4 linked regions of the Schizosaccharomyces pombe genome follow. The protein of the gene in region 1 purifies or fractionates together with the protein of each later gene. This does not show direct contact. Each region holds a gene or a part of one and is shown in the gene's direction. Other genes may lie near its edges.

Region 1 (8,242 bases):
TTTGTCTTTCCGACGAGTTTATTTCTCATTTCATCGAAAGCAGCAGCAGGCGACCGTTTAACGGCTGCTGCTTTTGCTTCTACATCATCCATCAACTGTTTCTGGCGTTGTTCATATGCTTGCATATTGTTTGTCGCTTTAGCCTGATATGCCCACCACCGCAATTCTTCAGGCGAAACATCGCCTTCATAAATTGATGGTAGATTCTCAACTACTGAATAACCTGTAAAAGGCCATTGTGGTTTTGCGTTTTTAAGATCGTCGTTAATATCCTTCATTCTTCTATTGGGAAGCAAATTATCTAAATCGCTTCTCTTCAAACGCCTTTGTACCCATATTGGAGGTCGTCCATTCTCTGGACGAAAGACATTAACCTTAGAAAATGCATTTTGTCCATTAGAAGGTACCGTATGTTGATTTTTACAATTGGTACCATACCTGCACCGATTTTGAAGGAAATACTTACAAACGACCATGTTGTTGAATAGTTGAAATGATATGCTAAAGATAAGTATAAAAATGTATCATAATCATATGTTATACTCCAAATTTTCTTATTTTTAGAGTGGGCGTCCCATTTGGAATCGTAGTGTGGTGTAGCGTTATTGCTCCAATTAATCATAAAGTAAAGGAATTCAAAGAACAATTATACCATCATTGGGAGTCTGATTTTTTAGTTGTTGATGATTCAGAAGGTAAAATAAATCCAATAATATTATGAATCCAATGCTTATAGGAGACATTTTCTTTTCGCCAACTGCGAGATATTAGCGCCTTCATGAATTTTACTGTAATTCCTTGTTCATCCAAGAATTCAAGTAAACTTGACTTGATAGAAGCTGGAACGTGCTTTGTTTTTCTGCCAGTGTACTTCTGTGATTTTTGTAAAATTAACCTCAAGTCAGATGAGAACGCTTGAGAGTTTTGAGGTGATTGAAAAGAAATGCTATCAAAATGAAGCATGCCCTTACAAAGTATTAAAGCACACAAAATTGTGCCATGGTTCTATAATTGTAAGTTATAATAACATGTTAAGATCTTACGTTAGTGAGTTGGACATAAGCAGGAATTGAATGCTGAAAGAACACTAGTTCATCAGATGTTTCGTTACCATTTTCATTTTCAGCACTATGCGTTATCGGCTTTGTTTGGACGTAACTTTTACGAGAGCTATATACGGGAACAGTAACGCGTATTCTAGCTACGTTAGTACTATTATATCGAAAGAAATTTAAAGGCTCTGCTGAAAGCATAATCTTAAACGTTGTATATTAGCCAACGCATAGACATGAAATCACATCGTTGAATTCAACAAACAATTGAGGAAAAATAGCTTACCTTTCCTTTGCCGTTTCTTTTAAAGCTGAAATGTAGTTAAGCGAAGGATCTTCATGGATTATAAAAGAATGAAGAGCCTTTTCGTATCCTTTTTTAGGTAATGTCTCATCAAGAACCTGTTTCACGTAACCCAGTTCAGAATCTAATTTCAACGCTAGTTGCTCCGTTAGGATACCACTTGTAAATTTTCGTTTACTACGAAACATATCAAAGTAAGAAAACCTCCTTTCGCAATTAAATAAAGGATATTTAAAGTTTCGTGCTGTAGAGATCGCTTTTCTGAGCATTTTGAAGTGCAATAAGCTGAAGAATAGAATTGTTACAAGCCGTCCAACAAAGATTTGCTTCTTCAATGGATTGATGAATTGTACAGATTATAAATATTTAATGCAATGGGGCATATGACAATAAGCACTTTAACTGAATTTGCTTCCTTATGAGAAGTACGCAAAGCAGTGACTTTAAAGTAATACAGCGGTTTTCACTAAAGTGCTTGTATACCATAGCAATGGATGAAGAAAATAATTAATGGAAAAATCATTATTGTAGACATCTGATTAAAGAAAAAAATAAAGAAATTAAGACTATGAAATTCTTTTTCCTGGTTTTTTAACGGCGTCGATTATAACCATAATGATGAAGATGCGGTTTTTGAATGAAATTGAAAAAATTGGCACAAAATTTTGAAAACATGACTAATAATAAACGTGATGGTAATTTCCGTTTGGACCATGCTGCATATAATACGGATTCGCATACCACAAACCATTCTCACGTTTGGTAAACGGACGATAAAACGCAGAATATGAATGGTTTATTTTAGCTTCAACATTGTATAGAGGGGGAAACTGGCATGTTTCTTTACGATTATAATGATTTCTACTTTTTCGGTGATTAATTTGTGGAATCCAAGTTTTAGCTCCGGGGTTCATGCGAGAAGTATTTGCTCGAACTTTCAAAGGAAGTTCTTTTCGGAGGTATTCTTCTCGGGCTTTAAGCGCAACTAATAATTAATAATTTAACATAAATTAGTCTACTTACGCTCATGCTTTAACTGCATTACCGGAATGCTCATTGTGTCGACAGCAATAGCCTTTTGCAAGCAAACTATGAGATGTGTTAAAAGATGTGAATGGTTCGTTTATTACCTTCAATTTTGTCTTCCATTGTCAAATTATCAGCATGTATATGTGAAATCAATTATAATAAAGGATCTCAAAATAATTTGAATAGTTTCCAAAATTTCAATCAATTTCGAGAAATGATGGTAAAAGGAGCTATATTATATATTTGTGCTTCGTCAAAACAAAATGAGTTATAAATTGCACCGATATTACTTCTATGACCAATTTCATATTTGTTTACACATGTGACTATCATGTGGTAAACAATCGATTCCAAAAGCGTTTTTGTAAACAACAACTACTACCTTTATAATCAATCATTAACGAGTAAAGGAATTGAGGCTAACTCTTCATAATACATATTACCCGGTTCTCCAACAGCGCCTGTTTTCATAATACTTAGTTTATCAAGTTCAATATTATGAGCCCAAAGAAATTGACCGTATTTTTCCATAAAAGGTTCCGAATTAAAAAACCTGATACGTCGCCCCTGGTATTTTATATACCTGGAATTTAACAAGGTGCAGTGTAGCTAGTTTTGTTAGCAAAATTATAATTTGGTTAACATCGCATAATGCGTACAGTAAGAGGTCTAGCGTCTTTAGTAAAAAGATTGTGTTCAGTGAAAATAACTTTTAACCATTCTATGAATTAGCTTATTAATAAAAAAAATAAAAACTCCGTACCACAAAAGGCTTGTAAGTCATTACCATTATGCTTGTCCACTGGAGTAGCATACAGCACCTTGGCTTCCTGAGGAGATTTCCCAAAGAAAGAAGTTCCCTTTAAATCGATTGTAATCTTTTTCTCGCCATAGGATTTTCGGATTTCATCCTCTTTGTTGTATAAAAAATCCATGCACTTGAGAACGTCTTCGTCGTTTTTAACCGGGATCATACCAATAGTAAGATGTGAGACACGAGGGCCACGAAATCCAGATAATATCATGGGATCATTAGATGTTAGTTTAAAATACTTTAAAGATTCCTCGATATAGTGCTCAGATATCGGTAAGGCCAAGAATAACAAATTTGGATATCGCATAATAATTAACAGATTACTATGGCAAAGTATTCAAAGTAATTTATTTACGGAAAGTTGTTCTGCGGCTCAAACAAAATTCACTGATCGCTAATGAAATATGAGGTAAGAGGAAATCACTTACAAATTTATAATGTAATTAAAATTGACTACATAACAATAATCAGGCTGTACTAATAATAATGTTTAACAACGTCGTTTATATTGAAACGAAAATTGTTCTTCATCCTATCCATTGATTTACTATTGCTGAATTAACGAATTTCATATAGCGTCATTAAGAAATATTAAGTTGTCAAATCCTAAAATCGGTAGACTTATTAGTCTAATCTTTAGATGATAAAATGCGAAGCAGTTCATTTGATCATACATATATATCAACAATTCCAATTCTTAAAAAAATAAGAAAGATAGCTGCAATTATTAGATATGGTGAGTCAACGCTTCGTTTGAGTTTAGATACACAGTCCAACTAAGGATGCCAGATGGACTATTCAACACCACCACAAAATTATTAAAAGTTGTTAAACTATAGAAGAAAAATATATTATACATTCTTCTGAAAACGTGATAAGCCGAAAGATATTTTTTAACACTTCGAATACCTAGGTGGCAGTCGACACACGTATAAAAGAAGTAAACGCATGACTAACTACTAAAAATGGCTCAATCTTCCTACTCTTCTGGTAATTCAACTTCAGATTTAAACAAGATTGTTTTGGACTATCTGTTTAAAAAGGGTTATTCCAGGACTGAAGCTATGCTTCGGTTGGAAATATCCAGTGTTGGCGCAATTCCTGAAGAACAGCAAGACTGGCACATCGGTGCTTCTGAAACTTATGTACAAGTTTATATTTTATTAAGAGATTGGATTGATGGTACATTAGATTTGTATAAGCCAAAACTACAAAAAGTCCTTTATCCAATTTTTGTACACTCTTACTTAGACTTACTGCAAAAAAATGATCCCGAAATGGCAATATACTTCTTTGAATCATTTCGTATAGAGCATGAAGTGTTGCATGGCTATGACATTCGAGCATTAGCTCAGTTGAAGATTGCATCAGACGTTGAGGAGATAGAAATAGCTCAGCTTTATCGCAAAAATAAATACCGGATTAATTTCACGAGGTCTACATTTGATTTACTAGTACAGTTTTTGTTCGAAAACGAAGTCAATGGAAGTGGAATAATAATTCGCTTATTGAATCAGTACATTGATATAAAAATTACTATGCCTCAAGTCGAGGGCAAGGAGGACCCTAATGTGCAAGCGGTCTATGAAATGGACGAAGCTAAAAATGAACAGACAATAATTAGTGAGCAAGAAGGAATTCCTGGCCATTCCGAACAGCTTCTTGATTACAACAAGCAAAGCATACAACTTGGATTACGTCCCTTGTCAGAAGAAGTTGTCACAACTTTAAAAAACTTGTTAGAAGTAAAAGATAAAGACGTGGAGGGAAGAAATGAAGCTCTGAATAAAATATTGCATCCTGCAAAGAACCTTGTCGAATTGCTGACTGAAAAAGAAAATCTAATCAACGAATCAACTCTAGAATCACCATCTGATCCCCCATTACCTCCAACCAAAATGAAGGACATAGACTATTTTGTTTCTTTACTGGAAAGCGAACAGAATTCTTTAATACTCGGAAAAAATGCTACGGATCCTAGTGTTTTCATGTATACCATGCACAATACACTTTCCGCTGTAAATTGTGCTGCATTCTCTGATGACGCCTCTATGTTCGCTCTGGGTTGCGCAGACTCTTCAATTCATTTGTACAGTTCTACTAACAATGGTCCGCAACCATTAGTGGGAAGTCAAAATGAGCCTTTACAAAAGTCCTCTTTAATTGGACATACGAGACCAGTTTTTGGAGTGAGCATCTCTCCTCAAAAAGAGTTTATACTGTCATGCTCTGAGGATGGCTTTACTCGTTTGTGGTCCAAGGATACTAAGTCCACTATTGTCAAATATGCTGGTCATAATGCGCCGATTTGGGACGTTCAGTTTTCCCCTTTCGGCTATTATTTTGCAACAGCCTCGCACGACCAAACAGCACGTCTATGGGATGTTGAGCATGCAGCACCTTTGAGAGTATTTGTTGGACATCAAAATGATGTGGATGTAAGGAACTTTATTTAACTAACAATTCTTATGAGCAGTAACTAACCTTGATTTAGTGTGTTTCATTTCATCCGAATGCAGCTTATCTTGCTACAGGATCTAGTGATCATACAACTAGAATGTGGGACGTTCGCACTGGTGGAACAGTTCGCGTGTTTAATGCCCATCATTCTCCTGTTTCTGCATTGTGTATGTCTGCTGATGGCTTATCGTTGGCATCTGCTGATGAATCGGGCATAATAAAAGTGTGGGATCTCAGAAGTAGTAATCAGCACGTTTCATTCGTTAAACACTCTAGTATCGTTTATTCTCTTTCTTTTTCATATGATAACAAAATTCTGGTTTCCGGAGGTGCAGATACTGATGTTAACTTTTGGGATTTGACATACCGGAATAACTTATCGGACGGCGAACAGTCCCCGCTTTTATTCAATTTTAAAACCAAAAATACTATTATACAAAACTTAAGTTTTACTCGAAGAAACTATTGTCTAGCATTAAGCTCTTCCTAAATATCATGTACATTATGGCCCGCAAATTTTGTGAAAAAAAGAGATATATTATTTTAACGATAACTTTGATATTTGTAAATTTATTCATATTTTTTTAAAATACAATTATACGCAATAAGGTTTCGTAAAGTAAAGAAGATGTAAGTTTTAAGCTTAATATGAAGTCGATCATCACTATCAGAAAGGAACATCTAACCGAAGATTATAAATATAACGGATATGTCGAACGCCTACCACCTTACCACTTTAACCAACTTTAAGAATGGCTAAAAAACTTTCATCACCCAAGGAATATAAAGAATTCATTGATAAATTCGATGTTTTTTTGTTCGACTGTGATGGTAAGCGCTAGCAAAAATATGAAATCTATTTGTAGGCTAACACGCAGGTGTACTTTGGAGCGGCAGTAAGCCTATACCAGGAGTTACGGATACCATGAAGCTCCTTCGTTCTTTAGGTAAGTCCCTTTTATTCTTTTGAGTTAACTCTTTTACAGGAAAACAAATTATTTTTGTCTCAAACAATTCTACGAAATCAAGAGAAACATATATGAATAAAATCAATGAACACGGTATTGCAGCCAAACTTGAGGAAATCTACCCTAGTGCTTATTCATCAGCTACTTATGTAAAGAAAGTGCTAAAGCTTCCTGCCGATAAGAAAGTTTTTGTACTTGGAGAAGCAGGTATCGAAGATGAGCTTGATAGAGTAGGGGTTGCTCATATTGGTGGAACGGACCCGTCGTTGAGACGTGCATTAGCTTCTGAAGATGTTGAGAAGATTGGTCCTGATCCTTCTGTAGGTGCTGTGTTATGTGGTATGGATATGCATGTCACCTATTTGAAATATTGCATGGCTTTCCAATACCTTCAAGACCCTAACTGCGCATTCCTTTTGACGAACCAAGATTCCACTTTTCCTACAAACGGAAAGTTTTTACCCGGTTCTGGAGCAATTTCATATCCGTTAATCTTTTCAACTGGACGTCAACCTAAAATCCTTGGAAAGCCTTATGATGAGATGATGGAAGCCATCATAGCTAATGTGAATTTTGATAGAAAGAAGGCTTGCTTTGTGGGAGATCGACTCAACACAGATATTCAATTTGCCAAGAATTCCAACCTTGGGGGTTCTTTGTTAGTATTGACTGGTGTCAGTAAGGAAGAAGAGATTCTTGAGAAGGATGCACCTGTTGTTCCTGATTACTACGTTGAATCCCTTGCAAAACTTGCTGAGACTGCATAGTTCATTCTTTAATTATACCTTAGATTTTCTTAAGTTAATCTCTATAAATACCTCATTCAAATGAATGATTGCGTTGCGAATTACCGCACGAAAACATGTAGAATACGAAATTAAGTTGGAAAGTAGAATTAGCAAAGTACCAATGACCGGAATCAAGTATCTAAAATCGAATACCGTTGGCTTGCATTTGCTCTTCGTAACTATCGTGTGTCCACCAACTATGGAATCAGTAAAAACCTTTTAGTTGACAAGCAGAAACGTACTTAAAAATACGATTAAGCCTGTATACTCTCACCAAAAACATTGGCATTGGGCATCTTCATCTGCACCTGCTTACAAGTTCTTTAATTTAGGTAATCCAGGTTTACTTTAATGTTATTTACATATCCATAATAATAACAATATAAAAGATTGAAAAAATACAAGCATTTATAGTTTTTCAAACAAATTCTATTGACTAAAACCATTCGTCTTTGACTTAAATGCGGCATATAATCACTTGACAGCAAAGCATAAATGATTCTTGTTCAACAACGAACGGTTCCCATCGATTAAGAAAAAAGAGATAAATTCATTACAGCTTTTTTTTCTCTGCAAATTTAAAAATGCTCTTTAATAAAGGTTTTGATGTCTAGTTATCTTTTGCGCTAAAATACAACTCATCATATATATAAAACATTGGAAATACCTGTAATCCGAACTGCAAACTACGTACTAGATAAAGTTATTTTAACGTGTTTTAACGAGTTGTTGCGATGTTTGTGATATTCGTAAGAAAAAGAGTTGACTCTAAAAACTACTTACTGTGTCTTTAAGGGAAACACGTTCACGTGTTTCGTTCTTCTTAT
Region 2 (5,963 bases), on another chromosome or scaffold:
AGCTATTATTAAATGATACAATAATTATTTAGTTGATCGCTTAAAAATTTTTTAGAAGCAGCCATGATTGTATCTATTTTGTTTGTTTTGTCCATGCATTGTTTGGTCTCCCCCCGAGCAGTTATGTCCCTATTGCGTAGCTAATAAATCCGCTACACCAACCACAATTTTAAGATAACTACAACAGTTTACTTTTCTTTTCTCATTCCCTTTCAAAATTTATGTTTTCATATTATCTTCAGTAATTTGTATTTCCATAGTTTTTGACGATTGAGCTATCAATATGAATTCTCCAATACAACTTCACAAGAAGTTTTCCACTACAGTTTGGCATGTTCTGAGCTGGATTCTTTATGCAGTTGGGGCAGGTCCTACTGCAATTATAAGTATGGGGGTGTATGTTCCTTTAATTGTTATGAAAAATGCCCATGATCATGGTTTTTTAAGAACAGATCACACAATTCCTTGTTCTTTATATCCAGAAGAACCTTGCTCTTTGAATATAGTTGGTCCGCTATGGATTGATGTTAGTTCTATTGTATTCGCTGCATCAGCTATTTCAACTTTTTTACAGATGGCTATGATGGTTAGCTTGGGTGTTATTTGCGATTATGGAAATAACAGAAGATACATCTTGTTTTCATGCGTTATCATAGGTTCTATTAGTGGTATTATACTTTCGTGGAGTCCCTCGAGTTTTCTTTTGGGAAAAATAGTGTTTTTGATTCTGGTCGACTTGAACTTTATTATATCTCAATCCTGCTATGACAGCTTTCTCCCTATTTTTTTGAGATTCTACCCTATCACGAGAGGACCTATAACATTGGAATCCGCTCTTCAGGATGAAACAGATGACCTAGATAGCTACATAACAAATACCACCATTGATTCTAGTGAAGAAGAGCCCTATTTGCTTGAACACAGCCTAATACTTAATGAATCCGCTCCTCCTGCAGATGTGGAAGATGAACACAAGGCTAAAATCGCTGCTCGATTATCAAGCGTTGGCTTCGGTAGCTTCTTCGGCGCTGCTATTCTCTTTCAGATTATTTTTACTCCCATTTTGTACAAAACTAATAACAATCCAATAATCTTGCCAATAACTGTTACAGTGTGTTCATGTTGGTGGCTTATACTTTCAACCCCCCTTTGTACCATTGTTACACTACCTGTGGAAAATCACTCAAGTGATGCTATCCTGACACTACTTTATAATAGTGTGAAAGAGTCGTATCATTCATTCAAGCATGCAATGAGTATTTCTTCGATTAGGCTATTCCTATTTTCACGACTCTTCATTAATTGTGGAATTCAAACTTCTCTTTCTTCTGCCGTTATTTTTGGAAAAGCAAGGTTGAATCTCTCTAACTTTCAGCTGACTTTGCTAGGAATGGGAATATCTTCTTTCGCATTGTTAGGCACCGTAATTATACCCTATCTTACTGAGTATTTTCAACTGAACTCGTTACAAGTAGTAATGATTATTTCCATCCTCTTGCCGATGGCTCCTTTATATGGCCTTTTGGGTTACATTCCTGGATTTGAAAATGCTGGAATACGAACATCAGCTGACGTTTTCCGGGCTACTTTATTCTTTGGCTTTTTCTTAGGAGGTGCGCATAGTTATTGTAGGTCCGTATACGCTCAACTAGTGCCATCTGGAAAAGAAACTAGATTCTTTGCCCTCTACGCTTTGATATCACAAACCGGTGTGTTATTTAGCCATATTTCTTTAACACTTATTTCGAACTACACATCTGATTTACGTGCCGTCTACATTTTTGTAATTGTTGTTATGACTTTACCTTTGTCTTCTTTATGGATAATGTATCAACACAGCAAAACCCCCAACTTGCATAGGTCCTCCTCTTAACTCACCCACTAGCATTTATTTATTGATTTAATTAAACAAGTCTGCGGTTCTTTATTTTTTCGAGACATTAAACTATTGATTAATGTACAGTGAGCGCCAAGCCTAATTATTTTCATGAGTCTTTCCAATTAATAAACGAAATTATCGAGGATTTAATAGTTAATAGATATATATTATTATATGAATTTAATTCTGTCACCCAAGATTCATCAGTAAGCTAATGTTACCTGAGTCTATATTCATCGGCAGACGAAAAGTATCCCTTAGCCAACACCCATTTCGCCACAAGTCGATTAATATCATATATAACGGCTTAGTGAGGCCATACATAAATTTTGAAATATATTATGTCTTTTGATGGTCTTATAGTTGAAAATGAAAATACGAAATCTGGATACAATGATGGAAATGTAGGTATTTTGAAATCTATAATCTTAAACTAACGAATGTAGGACCTGACAGATTTATTTAAGCAAAATGGTACAGACATGTCTGTAATAAATTCTCTTTTAGGAGATACAAACAATCCAGGGATGAATGAGTCCCCAAAAATTTTAGATTCTAGTTTTGAAAATTCCAACCCTCAGGATGGACCAAATTATGAAGATTTTGACTTTATGGGTTCAATTCATAAGGAATTTGGTAATAACATAAATGAAATGGATGATATGGAAGATGTAAGTGATGATAATCTACCAGAGGAAGAACAAGCTGTAAATTACACCGGGGATAAGGATGATGAAGATTTTGGAAAGCTTTTAGCTAAAGAAATGGGTGAAGAGGCTGCTGGTCAGGTCCTCAGCGGAGTAGGCTTTTCAATTCCATCGGGATTAGTTCCACCTTCCGAACCTTCGAAAACTGTTTCTTCTACTACAGAAGAATTACAAAACGAAGCTCAAATTAGGGAGAGCATTGTCAAAACTTTTTTTCCGACCTTTGAACGTGGTGTTTTGTTGAACTTTTCAGAACTTTTTAAGCCGAAACCTGTTAAGCTTGCTCCTCCAAAGAAAAAGACCCCAAAAGGTATGAATTGATTATTGTTGTATTTTTTTACTGATCTGACATGTTAAGTTTGCGTACCTGGTCGTTTAACGTTAGAAGTCGATACAGATTACGCAATAATATTCAATAGCAAGAAGTCTTTACCATTAAAGCGAAATGTTGTGTCTCCAATATCTACGCATACAAAAAAGCGAAGAAGAACAGCTAATACATCACAGGTATGGTTTGATTTAGAATAGCTTTCACTAACCGAAAGAGGAATGACGGCTTGGATCTCAACACCGTTTTTACTACTAATGATTGGGAAAAAAATATTATTTACGATGAGAGTGATGTTAACAAAACTAATCAATCATCATTTTTTATTGACAAATCACTAGTTGATATTGATTTTGCATTTGATGAAAACATTTTTGACGGAGACACTGGTACCTCGAAAGTAGTATTAAATTTAAATGACCCCAAACTTTTGTTACAACCTCAATTGCCGAAGAAAGAGGATTCCCAAAGATCTTTTGCAGACACCCATCAAAGGAATTCCCTGGCTTGGAAGTTTAATATATCCAACGATCCTGCCTATGAGATGTTAAAACAAAATCATCAGTCAAAAGTTCGTAATACCTTGTCCCAGTTAGCAATTGAGCATGCTGCCTTTGCCGAAAAGCTCACATTTCCTTACTATAAAACAAGACTTAGTAAGCGTGCTGTTCGAAGTTACCATCGACCAACCATGTCGTTCAAACCTAATGCAGCTATTGTCTTTTCACCTTTAATAGTAAGGAAAAGAAGTAAAGATAAACATAAGTCTGAACGAGAATTAATTCCTACTACTAAGGAGATAACAATGGGTGATACCACACATGCAATACTCGTTGAGTTCTCAGAAGAACATCCTGCAGTGCTGTCCAATGCAGGTATGGCCAGCAGGATCGTTAATTATTATCGAAAGAAAAATGAACAGGATGAATCACGTCCCAAGCTCGAAGTTGGTGAAAGCCACGTTTTAGATGTTCAGGATCGGAGCCCTTTTTGGAATTTTGGATCTGTTGAACCTGGAGAAATTACTCCCACTTTGTATAATAAAATGATTAGAGCTCCGTTATTTAAGCATGAGGTACCACCTACTGACTTCATTCTAATACGGAATTCTAGTAGCTATGGCTCAAAATATTACTTAAAAAACATTAATCATATGTTCGTGAGTGGTCAAACTTTTCCTGTTACTGACGTGCCTGGGCCCCATTCCCGTAAAGTGACCACAGCAAGTAAAAATCGATTAAAAATGCTTGTTTTCCGGCTTATTAGGCGTTCACCAAATGGAGGATTGTTCATTCGACAATTATCAAAGCACTTCTCCGATCAGAATGAGATGCAAATTAGACAGCGTCTTAAAGAATTTATGGAATACAAAAAGAAAGGTGATGGTCCAGGTTACTGGAAATTAAAATCGAATGAAGTTGTCCCCGATGAAGCAGGTACACGGTCAATGGTTTCACCTGAAACAGTGTGCTTACTAGAGAGTATGCAAGTGGGTGTGCGGCAGCTTGAAGATGCTGGGTATGGGAAAACAATGGATGAGATCAATGATGATGAAGATGAAGAACAACCAGCAGAGCAACTGTTAGCGCCTTGGATTACTACGAGAAACTTTATAAATGCTACCCAAGGGAAGGCCATGCTTACACTGTTTGGTGAGGGTGACCCTACAGGAATTGGCGAAGGTTATAGTTTTATTCGTACGAGCATGAAGGGTGGTTTCAAACCCGCTGGCGAAACCGCCGACGATAAGCCAGAACCGCAAACTAAGAATGCTCACGCCTATAATGTTGCAAAGCAACAAAGGGCTTATGAAGAAGAAATAAATAGGATTTGGAATGCTCAGAAAAGAGGTTTAAGTATAAATAATCTGGAAGAATTGGCTAAAAAATATGGCATCAATTCTATACATGATGATTACGTTGAATCTAATGAGGAGACTACGAGAGAAGAAACTCCATCTTCTGATAAAGTTTTACGAATTGTTCGACTTTATCGTGACAAAAATGGAAATTTGGAACGTAAACAGGAAACCATTCATGACCCGATAGTCATCCATGCCTATCTGAAGAAGAGGCGTGAGATTGACGAACAATCAACTGCTCTTGATGCCGTCGTACCAACTGGAGACGAAGCAATTGATAGACGCAACCGAAGGCGTCTTGAACAAGAACTTGCCAAGAGTCAGAAGAATTGGGAGCGACGAAGAGCTCGACATGCTGCCAAAGAAGGAATCAACTTGAACGGAGAAGGACGAAAACCCACTACTCGCAAATGTAGTAACTGTGGTCAAGTGGGCCACATGAAGACCAACAAAATATGTCCCTTATTTGGTAGACCTGAAGGAGGTTTGGCTACTATGCTCGACAAAAACTAAAATAATACTGAGTGTTATAAAGAATATTTGACATCTCATGATGGGCGTCGATCGCTCCTTTTTTGTTTATTGGTGATGAATCTAATTATAACGATATTCATTGTAGAAAATGTTAATAATCAATTTATGTTTATGAAATCAAATATATAGTTGACGAACTTCACGTGAAAATGAGTTGAAACTTTCAAATTTTTCGCGCAATAGCACCCTTCATATTAAAATAGCAGCAAATTGCCTTGGCATATCCTTCAAATAAAAAATTGGTAATATAAGGCTTGTTATGAATACTCCCATATGCTGCAAGTTCCTTTACATCAGTGTTTCTTGGCAAAAATGCAGCAACATAAGGGGATATCCTAGTTGCTTCTTTAAATAGAACATCAAAAGCATATGGGTTTAGGTCATTTAATGAATATACTGTTTTTCCTGAGTAACTAGGTCCACCCCAAGGAGGACTCATAAAAACAAGAGACTAGAAAATATTGTTAAACACAGAATTAATATATAAGATTATCTATACCCTGTAATCTTTAGCAAACTGCAAAGATTTAAAAGTGTCAAGAACGTCTCCTTGAATGAAAGTGACTCGAGATGAAGGAATGCCATAAATTTCCAAATTATGCTTTGCCATAGCGATTTTGATAGGATCGATCTCAATTGAGATTACTGAAACAA
Region 3 (7,047 bases), on another chromosome or scaffold:
TTTTTTTTGGATTACGAGACCAACTATGTAAATGTTTCTGTGGTACTAACCGCTCTATGGCGTGTGTAGTTACGTAAAAATTTGGGCGAGAATGAGAATGTGAGTGACGAGACTAGTGCAAAGGCGTATGTTGAATCGTTTTCCCTAGAAGTTCTTGTCCAGGCCGAAAGAAATAGCAAAAACGGGAAACCAGATGTGCAAGCGTATTTGGCAGCCCGAGATTTTCTAGAGTTGTCGAGAATCTGGGGACCACCTACGGAACAGGTACGTGAGTCAAAAACAGCGAGAGCAAGTGAGACGGAATGAAAAAGAGTAACGAGCAGAACTTAGGAGAAAAAAAAAAGAAAACCACGATCAACAAAAATGAAAAAATGAAGGTTCTTTGGAAATTTTTTTATTTTTTATTTTTGTTTTGTCAAAAACAAAATCGTCTTTTCCAATTCACATTACCATGTGTTTTTTTTTTCGACTCGTTTCTTCTTTTGCCATTCTGAGGATTTCCTTCCTATCGGTATTTTTCTCTCTCGTTTGTATTATACAACGATGCTTTATGATGCTTATAACGATTTTTTGTTCCCTACTAACCCCTATTGCTACGTAGATTACCAAGTCAATCAAATTTTGCAAGTTACGTGCGCTCCAAGTCGCAAATCCCCAACGAAAGGCCAAAACACCCTCAAACCACGCGACCGAGGAGTTACAGCAATCTTCCACAAATTCCACAACCCTACCTACGCAAGAAGCCGCCGTTGAAACGAATGCCTCTGCTTCTCATGAAACATCTTTTGCTCTCCCCACTACATCTCCAGCAGCATCGCTCTCCATCTCTCCTACAAAGTCTGCAGCCGTATCTTCCGAGCCTAATGTAGAAGCAGACGTAAAATCGTTGTCTTCAACACCGGCTGCTCCACAACTAAATTCACCTTCCCATTCATATGAGCCTACCACGTTCCCCTCAACTACATCAATAACCGAAAATTTGCCAACAATAGATCCTACTCGTTCCACTCGCTCTTCCTCGCATATCCAAAGTTTATCTCCTGAGTCAAAGCAAACATCAGATGGGCATCGGCCTCCCTCCCCTACGTCAATCACCACCACCTCCACCTCCATCGATCCGTCAGTAGCATTTTCCAGCAAGTCAACTTTAGCCACAACAAGAACAAATGCCCCTCTATCAAGGCCATCTCAACCGACTAAAGCCTCCCCCTTGAACAAGTTTTCCGCCTTGGAGGCTATCCAATCTGCTCGAAGTCATGCACGCTATGCATACAGTGCATTAGACTACGAAGACACAACGACAGCCATTCATCATCTAAAGTCGGCACTAAAACTTTTGGAGGAAGAGGAGCAGGGAAATCATACTGCAGACTAGAGGAAGAATGCTGGGGCTGGAATGGAGGGGATCTCAATGAGACAATGGGAAAAGGTGGGGCAGATACCAGTAAAATTATCTATCCATCTTGGGGAGAAACAATCTAATTGTACCACTCTCCCCACTATTCGTCTCTCTTAATGTTTGTTTATTTGTTTGTTTTTTTTTTATCCACTTTTTTTTCTTCAAATGCTTTCTAATTGTAGCAGGACCCCGCCTTTCTCTCCACTCTTCCCATTTTCCCTCGCCGTTGAGTGGCACTGCTCATCCCTGTCTCCTCATTTTTTGTCGCGTCATTTTAGCGAGCGTTTATTAAGGAACTGGCGAATGACTGCTGTTGTATATATTTCCCCAGATTTTCAGCAAGTAAGCTTTTGTCTTGTACTGCATACCACGTTGTCTTTCTTGCCCCTATGACGCAGTTATGAGACCAACGAGTCATGGGTTTATCCTGCCTCATCTTTTGTTACGTTATTTTCCTGTCTGCTTGGGTTTGGCTTCCGCAGTGGGGAACTGGCAATTGCGGTGGATATGTGTGGTGTCATCGCCCTCTCATCAAGTTTATATGTAGAGGGGCAGCGCTGAATTCTTTGCTCTTGGTTATTGCTTTCGCAGTTTTCCATATTTCCCCCATCCATCCATCCATCCATCCACCTCTTCTCTTCTCTTCTTTTTTTAACAGAATTGCTTTTTCCATTGTAAAATAAAACCATAGCAAGTTTTCACTACCACTTGGGTTTTTTTTTCTTTTCTTTAATTATTTTTTTAATCAACTTTCGTTGCTTTAATTTTTAAATATTTTTTCTCTTTTCATTCTTCCTACTCTTCCCGTTTACCGTCGATCGGCTGATTCTAGTTTTGACAATCACCATTGACTACGTCGATCCCTTTTTTTTTGGCCAGCCGAGATCATATATCCCGTTCATTCTTGGAACTTTCGTGATCTTTCGACTGTCTATTGATTCCGCAAACAAGTATATATATACACATATAGTTGTTTTTTCTTTTTGGACCTCTGTTCCATTGCGTTTCTCTCCTTCTTAGTTACTTGTGCTTCTTTACCTATTTCCTTTTTCTTTTTAAATAAGGATTCTTCTGTATCGAAATAAATTTCAAGAAAGGTAAGAACCGTTCCACACGCCTATTCTTGTATTTCTCTTTTCTTCGATTTGATTCGATTTCTATTCGTAACGCTTAGCTAGTCTTTGAACTTCCTTCATAATGATTGGTCCTCGTCTTTGCGCTGCAACCCCTCGCTTCCCTCTCGTTTCCCTCGCCCACAGGAACTCTAAAGTATTTGCGCTCGCCTCTTCCAATGCCGTTGCACAACGTTGGGGCAAACGCTTTTATGCTCCTATTGAAACGGAGACGCCTCACAAAGTTGGTGTAGAGTTTGAAGAATCCAAAGATCGCATTTTCACCTCTCCTCAAAAGTATGTTCAGGGTCGTCATGCCTTCACTAGATCCTATATGTATGTCAAAAAATGGGCCACTAAATCAGCTGTCGTGCTTGCCGACCAGAACGTATGGAACATTTGTGCCAATAAAATTGTCGATTCTCTTTCTCAAAACGGAATGACTGTCACCAAACTGGTCTTTGGCGGCGAGGCAAGCTTGGTGGAACTGGATAAACTTCGCAAACAGTGCCCTGATGATACTCAAGTCATCATTGGAGTTGGTGGTGGTAAAACCATGGATTCCGCAAAGTATATTGCTCATTCCATGAATCTTCCATCCATCATTTGTCCTACTACTGCCTCCTCTGATGCCGCTACTTCCTCTCTTTCCGTCATTTACACTCCTGACGGTCAATTCCAAAAATACAGCTTTTACCCCCTTAATCCCAACCTCATTTTCATCGATACCGATGTGATTGTTCGCGCTCCCGTCCGCTTCCTTATTAGTGGCATTGGTGATGCTTTGTCCACCTGGGTGGAAACTGAATCCGTTATTCGCTCAAATTCCACTTCCTTTGCCGGAGGTGTGGCCTCCATTGCTGGCCGTTACATTGCCCGTGCTTGCAAAGACACTCTTGAAAAGTATGCCCTGAGCGCTATTCTTTCCAACACTCGCGGTGTTTGTACCGAGGCATTTGAGAACGTGGTCGAGGCCAACACATTGATGTCTGGTCTAGGCTTTGAAAACGGTGGTCTTGCTGCTGCTCATGCCATCCATAACGGTATGACCGCCATCCACGGTCCCGTTCATCGTTTAATGCATGGTGAAAAGGTTGCTTACGGTACCTTAGTTCAAGTTGTTTTGGAGGATTGGCCGTTGGAAGACTTCAATAATCTTGCTTCTTTTATGGCAAAATGTCATCTTCCCATTACCCTTGAGGAACTTGGTATTCCCAACGTAACCGATGAAGAGTTATTGATGGTAGGTAGAGCTACTTTGCGACCTGATGAGAGTATTCACAACATGTCAAAGAAGTTCAATCCATCTCAAATTGCTGACGCTATTAAAGCCGTTGACTCCTATTCACAAAAATGGCAAGAACAAACTGGATGGACCGAGCGTTTTAGATTACCCCCTTCTCGTCATAGTCCTCACTTGACCGACATTCATCCATAGGCATTATTTTTATCCCCAGCTTCAATTTTCCCTAGTAAATCCAAAAGAAGAAAAGAAATTTTTAAGCGGGTTTTCTTCATTGATCATTAATGTCCTGAGTGTTTTTTTTTCTATAGTAGTCTTTTATTTCGTGTGCTTCCTTTCCTCTTGGAACTTTTTTTACCTTTTTTCTTTCTTCCTTTTTTTTATTTTTTTAAAAAAGTTGTAAGCTTTTCCCGTTAATCTAGTGATTTAATGATCAACCTTTTCGGCCTACTCCAAAGTTTTTTACGCCCCTTATAACTTCATGAATAATTTGCTTTATTTTTGTTACGAATGAAAAAAATTGTTCCCCTTTTCAAATGAATGTTTTATCGTTGTTAGTTGTATTGTATTAAAGTTGTTCACCGTAATTGATCTATTTGTTACAATGCACATCATCTGTGTTGCTTCCTTTTTTTTTTTTTTTTTTTGCAATCGCTTTTTATTGTGATAGATTTCAAAAGTTTTAAATGTAATTACAATTAATAATGTTCCTATGTTAGAAAACTTTAAATAACTAAAGTGATTTGTTTTCACGTATTATACAATTGTCGCTAGTGGCCTTGTCAAACATTCGTTGTTATTATATTATATGCTAACTCAATATGATTAGTATGCTACAAATGGTATAATAAGTGAGTAAATCCCGGATTCCTAGCTACATTGAAAACCCTTTTTACCTTAACCTTTGCATCGATCAACAATTTCGCGCTTTATTTACATTGTTTACTGTGGGATAAATAAGTAGTGTTGTCAACAATACATTACTCAAGGATACACTACGTTGAGTATCACTATATGACACATGTCCTAATCATTCATCGTTGTATGAAACAGTATTGAGATTGACCTTAATAATAATCTATTAATATTTTTATTATCTGAATACTATAAATAGGGCTACTGCCGAACCTTGTTCCTCAGTTCAGTAGTTTAGCTATGTCGGTGATCGATACTAATGGACTTCTTATAGTAACAAATATACATTGTTAGTTAAACATACCACATACCGCTATACTGTAGGTCGCAAGAGAAACTCACCGCAGTTCTATGAATCGTTAAATAGATACCAAACTGCGTAGCTGACAGGTGTTTGCAGATAACGATTGTATTAAAAAAATGTTGTAAATCACTATGGCTCGTTAGTAGTAGATAACGAGACTCACTTGAAGGTTTAGCGACTTGCTAATCGAGCGTTTGCCAACGACAATTACTCAAAAGGCGGTTTTCGAAAATGGTTAAGCTAAAAATTCGTGCTGTTCAGCCTCCTCCAAATGATTCACGATCTAGCACTCCAGCCACTGGTCCTCCTCCCCCAATTCCTAAAATTAAGATCAAGACACGTGAACCTAAAGGCCCTCGATTGACAAAAATTCGGTTAAAAAGAGTTCGCGAACCTGGCTTAGGATATGATTCAGAAGCTTCTGACAGAGAAGAAGACACTTATATTGAAGAACAAATTATATTACGTCTTCCTCCTGGTGAAGATTGTGAGTATGTTCGAAAAGCAATTGAAAATAGGGAAGTGGGACGAGGTGCAGACATATGGGTGAAGTTCAAAGGTAATGACTTGGTTACACTATATTATTATTAACAGAGTTAGATCAAAGAAGAGCGGTTGTTCATGTTAATGGTCATTTGTACGCTGCGAAGTTAGTTGATTTGCCATGCATCATAGAATCTAATAAATCATTCGACAAAAAAGTTATCTTCAAGGCTGCTGACATCTGTCAAATGTTGATAGCTACAGAAAGAATCGAGCACGAAAATTCTGTTCTCAATACTCAGTTAAAGCAAGCTGATTACATTTATCCACATGGATTGACGACGCCAATGCATTGGGTGCGGCAGAAGCGATTTCGAAAACGTGTTTCGAACAGAACAATCGAAGCAGTTGAAAATGAGGTTGACCGATTGCTTGCAATGGATGAACGCGCTGAAAGTACATCGAATGAGTTGATTGATCAAGCACAATTGGCTCGTGACTCAAGCATCGCTCTTTCAGAGGATACATCGTTTGATGGAATGGCAGGACTTCGTGGTACCAGCATCGATCGGGACGACCAAAGCGTGCAAACTGATATGTTTGATGGTATGGATGAGGACGATTTGGCTGGACAGATTGAACAGGGTATGCTTGAGCTTAGTCAAGATACTCGGGAGTCAACAGCAGAACCTCGTGCCGCAGGTGAAGAATCTGCTAGTGAAGAAGAAGAAGAGGAGGAAGAAGAAGAAGAAGAGGAAAATGAAGCTGACGATGAGACTCGCGAAAATAAACGACAAAATAGACTTGTTCGTGAGTTTATTTCAGAGTTGGAGTCTTCTATTCAAAAACGTAGAAAGGATGCCGATGAAGCAACTAATCCCATTCTACGAAATCGTTTCCTTGCAGACGTTAATCGTATGGTGACCGAGTTAGAGTTAAAACGTACTCAACTTGTCGATAACCCTGAATAAATGTGTTGCGTAGTTACATCTTTTTACATTTTTTTTTAAAGAAAAAAGCATTTATTTCTATACGTTTTACCTTTTGCATATCAGCTACAATAATAATGAACATCGGTTATGGTTTGGATATATATACATATATTTATATTTTATATAGTAGATTGTAAATTGCATATTAAGTATTTTAGACACTGATAGCCAGAATTAGTTTTGTTAATGAAGTGTACCGAACTTTATTACAACAATCATTTTTCTGCATAAGCAATTCTATTTAAACGTATACATATATTTATTAATATACATTTATATGCTCATAAATAAATTTATATACTTGAAGATTACTATTTCTTCAACTTGACAATGATGCATTCATTGTCGCTTATAGTAACATAAACTTTTGCTAACTCTACAAAAAAACCCTTCCATTCGGTAACCTGAAAATTATGCCGACATGGAGGTATATTTTTTCATTAAGAAGTAAATCTTCTTTCACTAAAACCTGGGTACCGTTTACTCAAATTCGAAATTCTAGTAAATCCCCCAAAGTCGGCCAAAAGCCAATTTTACAAGGCGCGTTAGGACCTCCGTTAGATTTTATTAGACCGAAGGAAAAAGTAACTCTACCTCCT
Region 4 (8,225 bases), on another chromosome or scaffold:
TTGAGAGCTTTGAATCACGAGTCTAAATTAAGACAAATAAATATGTAACATAAAGTAGTCATACACCATATTATTAAACAAATTTTTGCATACGCTTTTACATATAAGTAACACAATTTAAGCAGGAAAAAGCGTTTAAACATAAACAAATATAAAAAGGCTTGAGTAACAAAGACAATTTTTAAAAACATACACAAGTTATTTATTTACAAAGGAGTGTAGGGTTGCTGTAAGGTTAGTAGATAGAATGCAATATTTTAAGGTACATTTTCTTTTCAAGTAATGAAGTACCATGGACGAAAAGGGAAATTGCAAAAAAATAATTAGAATAGAATAGAAATCGTCAGCTAGAGAAGTGCAAAGTAATAAAGCGGTAGTTGGAAATACATTAATACGAATATGGGATAGAAATATTACACGAAAGAAAAACATAAAAATTAAAAGAGTGCATAGGGAAAATTAGAGTCGTTATTGATCCAAAAATGATTCCCAACGCTCAATAATTTCTTTTTGAGATTCAATTGCAGATTCCAACCACGTTTCAACACTAGCTTTGAGATCATCAACTCTACTGGTTGTGAGAGAACTCAAATCTCGTTTTAACAGAGTTGTTGATTCCGAAAACTCTTTTTCCAGATCAGCAGCTTTTGCTCGATATTTTTCGTATTGTTCTTCCAAGTAAGGGAGTGATTTTTGCTGAGATTTCGCTTGCTTTTTACATTTCTCAAGTTGAGTTTTAGCACGAGAAACAGCTTGAACTGAAGATTGCCATGTCTGCCACAACTTTTGACGTGTAGTAAAGGCATTTTTGGCACTCTCCACGTACCGAATGTACTCCTCCAATGTAGTGCCCAGTGTCAAATTGTCTTGAGCAACCTTACGTTCTTGTACAAATCGAAGCTCTACCTGGAGTTGGGAAAGACCATCAAACTTGGATGATAAGGTGGGCTCTAAATCAACTAAAGATAAATTTCCAACAGCCTCGCCAAAATCATGGATGGCTGAAGCGAACTGTATGCGTTGATCTATGGATAAAAGAAGCGCGTGATAAACCGACTTTAGTTGAGTTTCCAACGAATCAAGTGTATCCTTTGCTTCAATTAAAATTGGATCCTGTTCGGAAAATTTAGAAGATCCAGAGGTATGGAAGGCGGAGGTGAATGAGTCAAGTAAACCAGATGTTGAGGGACCTGAGCGCAAAGGACTTGATGAACTCTCAATGAGAGTAGTACGATGTGTCATTCTAGGGTCAAATGTCTCTGCTTCAAGAAACAACTTAAATGAGTAATCATCACGTAGAACCGGATGGGCAGATATTTTGCGAAGCATTACCTCCAAGGCTGCTCGTCGCTGTTCAATAAATTCATCATCAAAACGGCCTACAACCTGCTTTTCCGGGATGGGAGGAATGATACAACCCGGATGATTATTAGAAAGCAATTGATAAAGAAAAGCAAAATCATTATATCGTCTTTGTACAGTCACATTGCTAACAGAAGGTTGATTGTGTTCCTCTAAACGAGTGGAAACCGAATATACGGTATGCGATTTAGTGATTTCCTTAACGGTATGAGGGTCATGAACTTGGATGTAAAACGGGGTAAGAGATTGAGGTGCCGCTGCCGGGTGCGCCTTCTGATTCTCCGTATCTGTTAATGAGGTTGAACCTTGCTTCTGGGAGGAGGCAGATGAGACAGTGTGTGTAAAATTTGGAGCAGAAGATGAGGCAGCGTCTAAAGTATCTACCGTCTGTTCTGAATTTGGTATAGTGGGATTTTCCGTTGCTCCGATAGGAGAAGGGGAAAAGGAGTTCACTTCTGAGATCCAAGGCTTATTTGCAGAAAAATCTGCATTCAAAGCGGGACTAGATCCTTTTAACGGATTAATTTTTGTATTTAAACCAACTTCCAAACGGTTGTTTTCGGGTGCCATAGAAGGTGCATCAGAAAATTGCAAGGGACCTAAAGGTGCAGAATCCAAAGTTAACGTTTCAAACGGAAGAGATTTCAAATTGACGCTTCGTTTCCTAGGAGATGTATAGATATGAGTTTTTGGTGGAGAAGCTTGAACATTCGGCGACTCTTCTTCCACTCCTTCAGCTGAGGGCTCTTGGTCGGTTTTTGGAGGGTTCAGTGGAGAAACGGAATCTGCGAATGGATTAAATGCATCGTCTTCTTCATATATATTATGCCCAAGCATGATGGTGGCCGGTTGGGTTTTTGGATCTGATCACTGAAATCGTGCCTGAAATGGTGATGCGCAGCCCAACGACGACTAGCGAAAAATAACGATGGTTAAATACGTTTAGCAATGCGGGGTGACTTGCGGTGCAACTAGATAAGTGTCAACAATTCAAGTTTCTAATTCCTTTTAAGGCTACATTAAATTATATTTAGCTTGTAGAAGCAGTATATTGCGTTATACAGTATTGTGAGTGGTGGGTGATAATATATTTATCATTGTAACAGCTAATAACTGGACTGAGAATGATGCTCTGTTCAATCTAGACTTCTAATTTTAACTACTATTTTATATCAATATCAATGGATGTTTTAGTAAACAAACATATAGTCTTCTGCTATTGTTCAACAAATTGAGATTAATTGGTATTCCATGTAGTGTATTTTGATGCGTAACGTAATGTTTAATAGCGATTTTAGTGTAGCTCACTGTCTTGTAAGCTACGCAGTTTGGTATCTGATTTAAGGATACGTAGAACTGCGGTGAGTTTTCCTTGTGATCTATTATATTACAATACACAGGTTGTATAAGTAGCAACTGAGTATAGGTATTGTATTAACTGGGTTATAATGTTACCTATCACTAATATAGCTCATAACTGAACTGAGGAACGAGGTTCAGCAGTAGCTCTATTTATAGTATTCAGATAATATAGATCTTAATAGATTATCATTAAGATCAATCTCCATATCGTATCATACATGGTACGATATATAATTAGAACATGTGACATATAGTGATACGCAACGTAGTGTATTATAGCGTAGTGTAGTATTGCTGACAAGTATGTTAAATAAAGCAGTTGCTTCTAACATCGTTAACTACTTCTCTGCAGATGCAATTCACTCATTGATCCATAAATCGTTCATCTTACTACCAAGTCATGTCCTTGACAGTATGGAATATTGAATCCATCAAAGATGTTGCTGAAATGCTTGGGATTGGCAATCTTGCCGATGAACCAGCAGCAGCTATTGCAATGGATCTCGAATATAGAATTCATCAGGTGGTTCAGGTAGGTTTCGTGAAAGTAGACTATGAGATTTTACTTTCTTTGGAAGAGGCTAAAATAACTAAAAAATTGTTGCTAGTTTTTTACGATGCCTTTCAATTTGCTAGATAGTCTGCTTTATTCTGACATTAAACATAATTCTCTAACAGTATTTGATTTAGGAAGCCACTAAGTTTATGGTTCATTCTAAAAGAACTGTTTTAACTAGCGCAGATATCTCTTCAGCGTTACGGACGTTGAATGTTGAGCCGTTATACGGCTTCAATAATTCTCGTCCATTAGAATTTCATGAAGCCGCTGTAGGTGCAGGCCAAAATTCCCTTTACTACCTTGATGATGAGGAAGTGGATTTTGAAAAAATCATAAACGCTCCTCTCCCTAAAGTCCCTAGAAACATTTCTTACAGTGCACACTGGCTGGCCATCGAAGGTGTGCAGCCAGCCATTCCTCAAAATCCAACTCCCTCAGATCACACAGTTGGAGAATGGGCATCCAAGGGTACTTCAGGGGTTATGCCAGGTGCTTCAACTGCTGCTAAAGAAGCTCGAAACGGTGTCACTTCGATGGACAACGTTGAGATAAAACCGTTGGTGCGACATGTGCTATCCAAAGAGTTACAGCTTTATTTTGAGCGTATTACCAGTGCATTGCTTGATGAAACTAATGTTGAGCTCCGTGATGCTGCCCTATCGAGTTTACGTGACGACCCCGGATTACACCAACTTTTACCATACTTCATAATGTTTTTATCGGATTCTGTAACTCGAAACTTAGGAAATCTTGTGGTTCTTACTACTTTAATGCACATGGCCTGGGCCCTTCTTGATAACCCCAACCTTTTTGTAGAGCCTTACGTCCAACAACTCATGCCATCCATCCTTACTTGTTTGGTCGCGAAGCGCCTTGGCAGTGATCCTAATAATCACGAGCATTATGCACTAAGAGACTTAGCTGCTTTTTTACTCGGGATTGTTTGTGATCGATTTGGTAATGTGTATTATACATTAAAGCCTCGCGTTACTCGCACGGCACTCAAAGCATTTTTGGATAACACCAAGCCATATTCCACTCATTATGGTGCCATCAAAGGCTTAAAAACTATGGGGAAAGAAGCTATTAGAGTCCTCGTCGTTCCCAATATCAAAGTTTACGAAGTCCTAGTTCGGAAAACCTTGGAAAAAGGAAATGAAGAGGAGATTTACGAGGCCAATAAATGTATGGATGCTTTGTACGACGCTTTGCTATTACTGCGGGATGATCAATTACCAAATCAACGAACTCTTCCGCCAAATGCTAGTGGTCTTCTTGAGAAGAACGTTGGCAGTTTAATGGCTGAAAAGATAATGAAGGAAAACGATACCTCATTGCTTCTTGGTCTGCTAGAATAGTCTTCGTTGGGCATAAAATATTTGTTTTTGAACAATTTAATCTATGAATCTCGGACTTTAAAATATTTACCCAATTTTCCACACTACCTAAACCATTATAGGTTCTATAATTAAAATGTTATTGATATTCATGTTACATTAAAACAGGAAGCACCGAATAGCTTTCAAATGAATAAAAATAGAATGATGATAATATTGATATAGTTTATTTCATGTTTTGATTAAAGATGTGAGACTAGCTGACAATGCCGGGTTTTAAATGAAAGAAATACGTAATAGAACAGAAAGGGGAAGGAATGCTTGATTATGCCAAAGAATGCGAATAAAAGTAAACGAATTAAAGCAATTAAACTAGGTGAGGGAATAGCACCATAATAAATAATAATACTTTATCAGATATCGATGGAAAAATAACTGCACTAATCGCTATCGAATTCATCATTGTCCCCCATATTTGTGATTACTAGACGTTTCATTCCTTCTTCAGCACTGTCCTCGTCTGAAGATTCAGAACTGCTGCTTCGTCGATTGACAAGATAAGATTGAATATCATGAGTAGGTGATCCGCTACGAGATTCAAAGCCGTCTGATTGAGTAGTTTCGGCTCTGGAGTCTGCTCTTGAATGTATTGACATTCCCATAATGGAAGGTGCAGTCCCACTATGGGTTGAGCTGGCACGTGAAGACTCAATCATTGAGATATATGTTGGTGCAGTATTCGATGTCGAAATTACCAATTCGTCCTCATCGTCATCCTTACCTTCGGTAGCAGATAATCGTGGAGTAAGAATGGTGTGCTGAGGAGCCATTGTACGTGAATGAAGCGAAGCAGGACGGGTGTGATAAACACCATGATGCTGGCTAGAAAATACCCTTGAGCGCATGCCTCCTAAGCCTTTGCTGGAAGACTTCCCATTTTGTGATGAACTTTTGATTGATGGGCTAGAGTGTAAAGGAGCCACACGGCCTATATCACTCCAGACAGTCGCCTTTGCACGGCGTAAACTCTGTACGTAAGAAAAAGTAGAACCATTTGACTCATGGTTGCTATTAATGGCATTCGAAGTTGGAAGGGAAGACCTCGAATATGGATCATCATGGCTCGATCGAGTAGCTAAACGTTCCATGCGATTAGTCTTCTGTCTAGTAATGATTATTATCTATTTATTCCTTCTTTGAATAAGTTGCTTGTAGAGTAATTCCAATTAATTTTTAAAAATTTCACAGACAAATGCCGGGATTAGAAAACGAATGGTGTTAAGATAGACAATCTTTTATTTGATTAAGCAATCAGCTAAAACTAATTAAACAAAGCTCATATATCTTTGAAAAGCGCAAGAATTAATGTTTCGTACTGAAAATTGCAAATGTGCGGAAGCTATGTTTACATGTCTCATTCTCGAACATACGGTGTCCCAGAGGTAAATCTTATTAGGTTTTACTGTAATATCCCATAAATTTCTGTAAATAACAATACGCAATTCAATGTGCTTTAGCGTACTGTAGATTCTTACACAAACGAGCCTTACATGCAAAAAGCCGATTTAATCTCCATTTTCCTTCTTAATTTTAAATACAAATTACATTTGACTTCCGATCTTCACTCATTATAGGAGACTGTACCGATTACATTGCCTATAGGGATCTTTCATCTCTCGTTATTCTCGTATAGCAAATTATAGCGCGTCGTAATTTTCTTTGGACGGCACATTCACTCTTTTGGAAACTGCATGTCTGCGAAGCAGTTGTAGAGAAGTAGATTTAAATGGATATCGTTGCAGAGACTCAGATTGAAGAAGAATCATTGATACCCGACGCCACTAGTACTCCATTAGAAACGGAAGTGGTGGCTGATACTACATTGCGTAAAACAGCTTTACATCTAGCTGGCGTCGATAATCTTTCAGAAGAACAAGTCAAAGGATTTATTTCAGCTTATGCTCCTGAATCTCAATGTACAATTGAATGGATTAATGATAACGAATGTAAGAAGCGAAAACTGGCAAAGGGTTAGTCTAACTCTATAACCGCGTATAGGCAACGTTGTTTATGCGGATGATGATGTTTCACGAAATGCTTTATTTCATTTAATTATGGAGTCTCCGACAGAATTTTCAGAGGAATTGGAATATCAAACGAAACCACACCCAACTGTACCGACGTGTCAATTCAAAATACGTTACGCCCGCTACGGAGACAAGAAGGTTAAAAGCGCACATCTTTACTCGAGATATTATCTGTTTCACGGTGATCCTCGAGAAGAAAAGGCTCAGAAGAGCAAATCTAAAAGGTATAACTTGTGAAAACCAAATTAGTCCGGGTGCACTCATACTTTTCAAAAATCATTTCCTCTACTTTTGAGAATCTCCTTTTACTCAATTTTATATTCAAATTACTAACACTTTCGCACAGTAGAAATCAAGATGAAAGGGGTTCGCCATTAGATGAACGACTAGGTCCTAAAGTGTCTGACCTTACACTGATGGAAAGAATATTCCAAGTTCGACGCAAGCCACGCAAATCAAGGAGAGACCGTCGTTCCAGGGTTTCCAAGCGTTAATTGTGTTGTAGAGAAATATTAAATACCCAGTTTATCCGCTTTTAAGTCGCTTTTCGCTGGACGAAGGCAAGAAAAAATTAATATGCTAAATTAGCTACAATTTTATAAATAAAATTTTTTTATTTAGTTGGCCATATTAAAATAAAACCGTTCTTTTCTGCGTTTAATAGAATACTCTTTTGGTACCTGAATGATATCGATAACCCTTTTAAGGTAGATGTAAGCAAACGACAATTTTGAATGGGATAGTCCTTAGCTTTAAGCAACGTTGTGATGAACAAAAATTACCAATACAGATTTAAATTGTAAGAGCTAAACTCTTAAAAAATGCTTAAAATTTTTCGTCGATAAATGACGGTCGACACAAAATAACTATACATAAATGCATCTGGTCCACAAATGGATAGGTAATAGCATCGACTATTAAAATGGAGAAGGGATCATGAAAATTGAAATGCATTACGGTAATGTAAAACATAGAAATGTAAAAGTCATGAAGACAGAGATCATTAATAAAATGATTACCGCTTTTCCTTTCCACGAGGACGATCGCGGACGAGTAATTTATTAACATTTTTACCTCTTCTTGTTTTGTATCCACCTTTAGCCAAAACACCCCAAGGAGATTGAGAAGGTTTATTACCAATGCTTTTACCACCACCACCACCATGTGGATGGTCACATGGATTCATAGCTGTACCTCGAACCGTAGGACGAATGCCAAGCCAACGTGAACGACCGGCTTTACCAAGCTGGCGATGTTGCCAATAAATATTGCTTACAACACCAATGGTAGCAAATGATGTATCCAAAATCTTTCTCTCTTCACCACTTTGTAGACGAACGATAGCATATTTACCATCAAAAGCTATGATACGAGCGCTACTGCCAGCAGAACGACATAGCTTTGCCTTTTGATTTGGATTTACACCAATGGCATGAATGACAGTTCCTATAGGAATTAATCTGAGAGGAAAACAATTTCCTGGCTTCAAATTTTTTGCTGCAAAAGTTCCATCTTCAA

Evidence for each region.
Region 2: the proteins of taf51 (region 1) and taf1 purify together in Schizosaccharomyces pombe (affinity purification with western blotting, with the first as the bait; 2 studies listed by BioGRID). This does not show direct contact.
Region 3: the proteins of taf51 (region 1) and taf7 purify together in Schizosaccharomyces pombe (affinity purification with western blotting, with the first as the bait; 2 studies listed by BioGRID). This does not show direct contact.
Region 4: the proteins of taf51 (region 1) and taf6 purify together in Schizosaccharomyces pombe (affinity purification with western blotting, with the first as the bait; one study listed by BioGRID). This does not show direct contact.

Annotation. Positions count from the first base shown.
Region 1 is NC_003423.3:3,029,717-3,037,958, forward strand, and holds taf51 (transcription initiation factor TFIID subunit taf73), read left to right. Parts: upstream 1-3,990; 5' UTR 3,991-4,164; coding exon 4,165-5,637; exon of another isoform or gene 5,638-5,693; coding exon 5,694-6,149; 3' UTR 6,150-6,223; downstream 6,224-8,242. Other genes in the region: nuclear rim protein Amo1, read right to left, coding at 1-476; SPOM_SPBC15D4.11C (Mam33 family protein), read right to left, coding at 655-1,005, 1,044-1,197, 1,339-1,625; protein mug98, read right to left, coding at 2,034-2,341, 2,380-2,413; SPOM_SPBC15D4.13C (ASCC1 family protein), read right to left, coding at 2,776-2,994, 3,045-3,106, 3,173-3,506; pho2 (4-phosphoerythronate phosphatase/2-phosphoglycolate phophatase, involved in detoxification of glycolytic by-products), read left to right, coding at 6,412-6,490, 6,538-6,606, 6,646-7,394.
Region 2 is NC_003424.3:836,100-842,062, forward strand, and holds taf1 (transcription factor TFIID complex, histone acetyltransferase subunit Taf111), read left to right. Parts: upstream 1-2,138; 5' UTR 2,139-2,220; coding exon 2,221-2,283; exon of another isoform or gene 2,284-2,325; coding exon 2,326-2,896; exon of another isoform or gene 2,897-2,911; intron 2,912-2,944; coding exon 2,945-3,093; intron 3,094-3,131; coding exon 3,132-5,288; 3' UTR 5,289-5,463; downstream 5,464-5,963. Other genes in the region: vacuolar amino acid transmembrane transporter Atg22, read left to right, coding at 284-1,873; RNA methyltransferase Tgs1, read right to left, coding at 5,473-5,760, 5,809-5,954.
Region 3 is NC_003424.3:2,171,910-2,178,956, reverse strand, and holds taf7 (transcription factor TFIID complex subunit Taf7), read left to right. Parts: upstream 1-5,169; 5' UTR 5,170-5,204; coding exon 5,205-5,532; exon of another isoform or gene 5,533-5,573; coding exon 5,574-6,427; 3' UTR 6,428-6,547; downstream 6,548-7,047. Other genes in the region: vta1 (Vts1 family protein), read left to right, coding at 70-264, 602-1,375; glycerol dehydrogenase Gld1, read left to right, coding at 2,597-3,949; mismatch repair ATPase msh1, read left to right, coding at 6,862-7,047. UniProt on the Schizosaccharomyces pombe protein: TAFs are components of the transcription factor IID (TFIID) complex that are essential for mediating regulation of RNA polymerase transcription. Also involved in the transport of mRNA from the nucleus to the cytoplasm.
Region 4 is NC_003421.2:696,581-704,805, reverse strand, and holds taf6 (TATA-binding protein-associated factor TAF6), read left to right. Parts: upstream 1-3,108; 5' UTR 3,109-3,124; coding exon 3,125-3,256; intron 3,257-3,414; coding exon 3,415-4,641; 3' UTR 4,642-5,060; downstream 5,061-8,225. Other genes in the region: retromer complex subunit Vps5, read right to left, coding at 469-2,199; protein mug123, read right to left, coding at 5,061-5,768; RNA cap binding protein cbc3, read left to right, coding at 6,407-6,626, 6,679-6,931, 7,054-7,201; rml2 (mitochondrial 54S ribosomal protein uL2m), read right to left, coding at 7,723-8,225. UniProt on the Schizosaccharomyces pombe protein: Functions as a component of both the DNA-binding general transcription initiation factor complex TFIID and the transcription coactivator SAGA complex.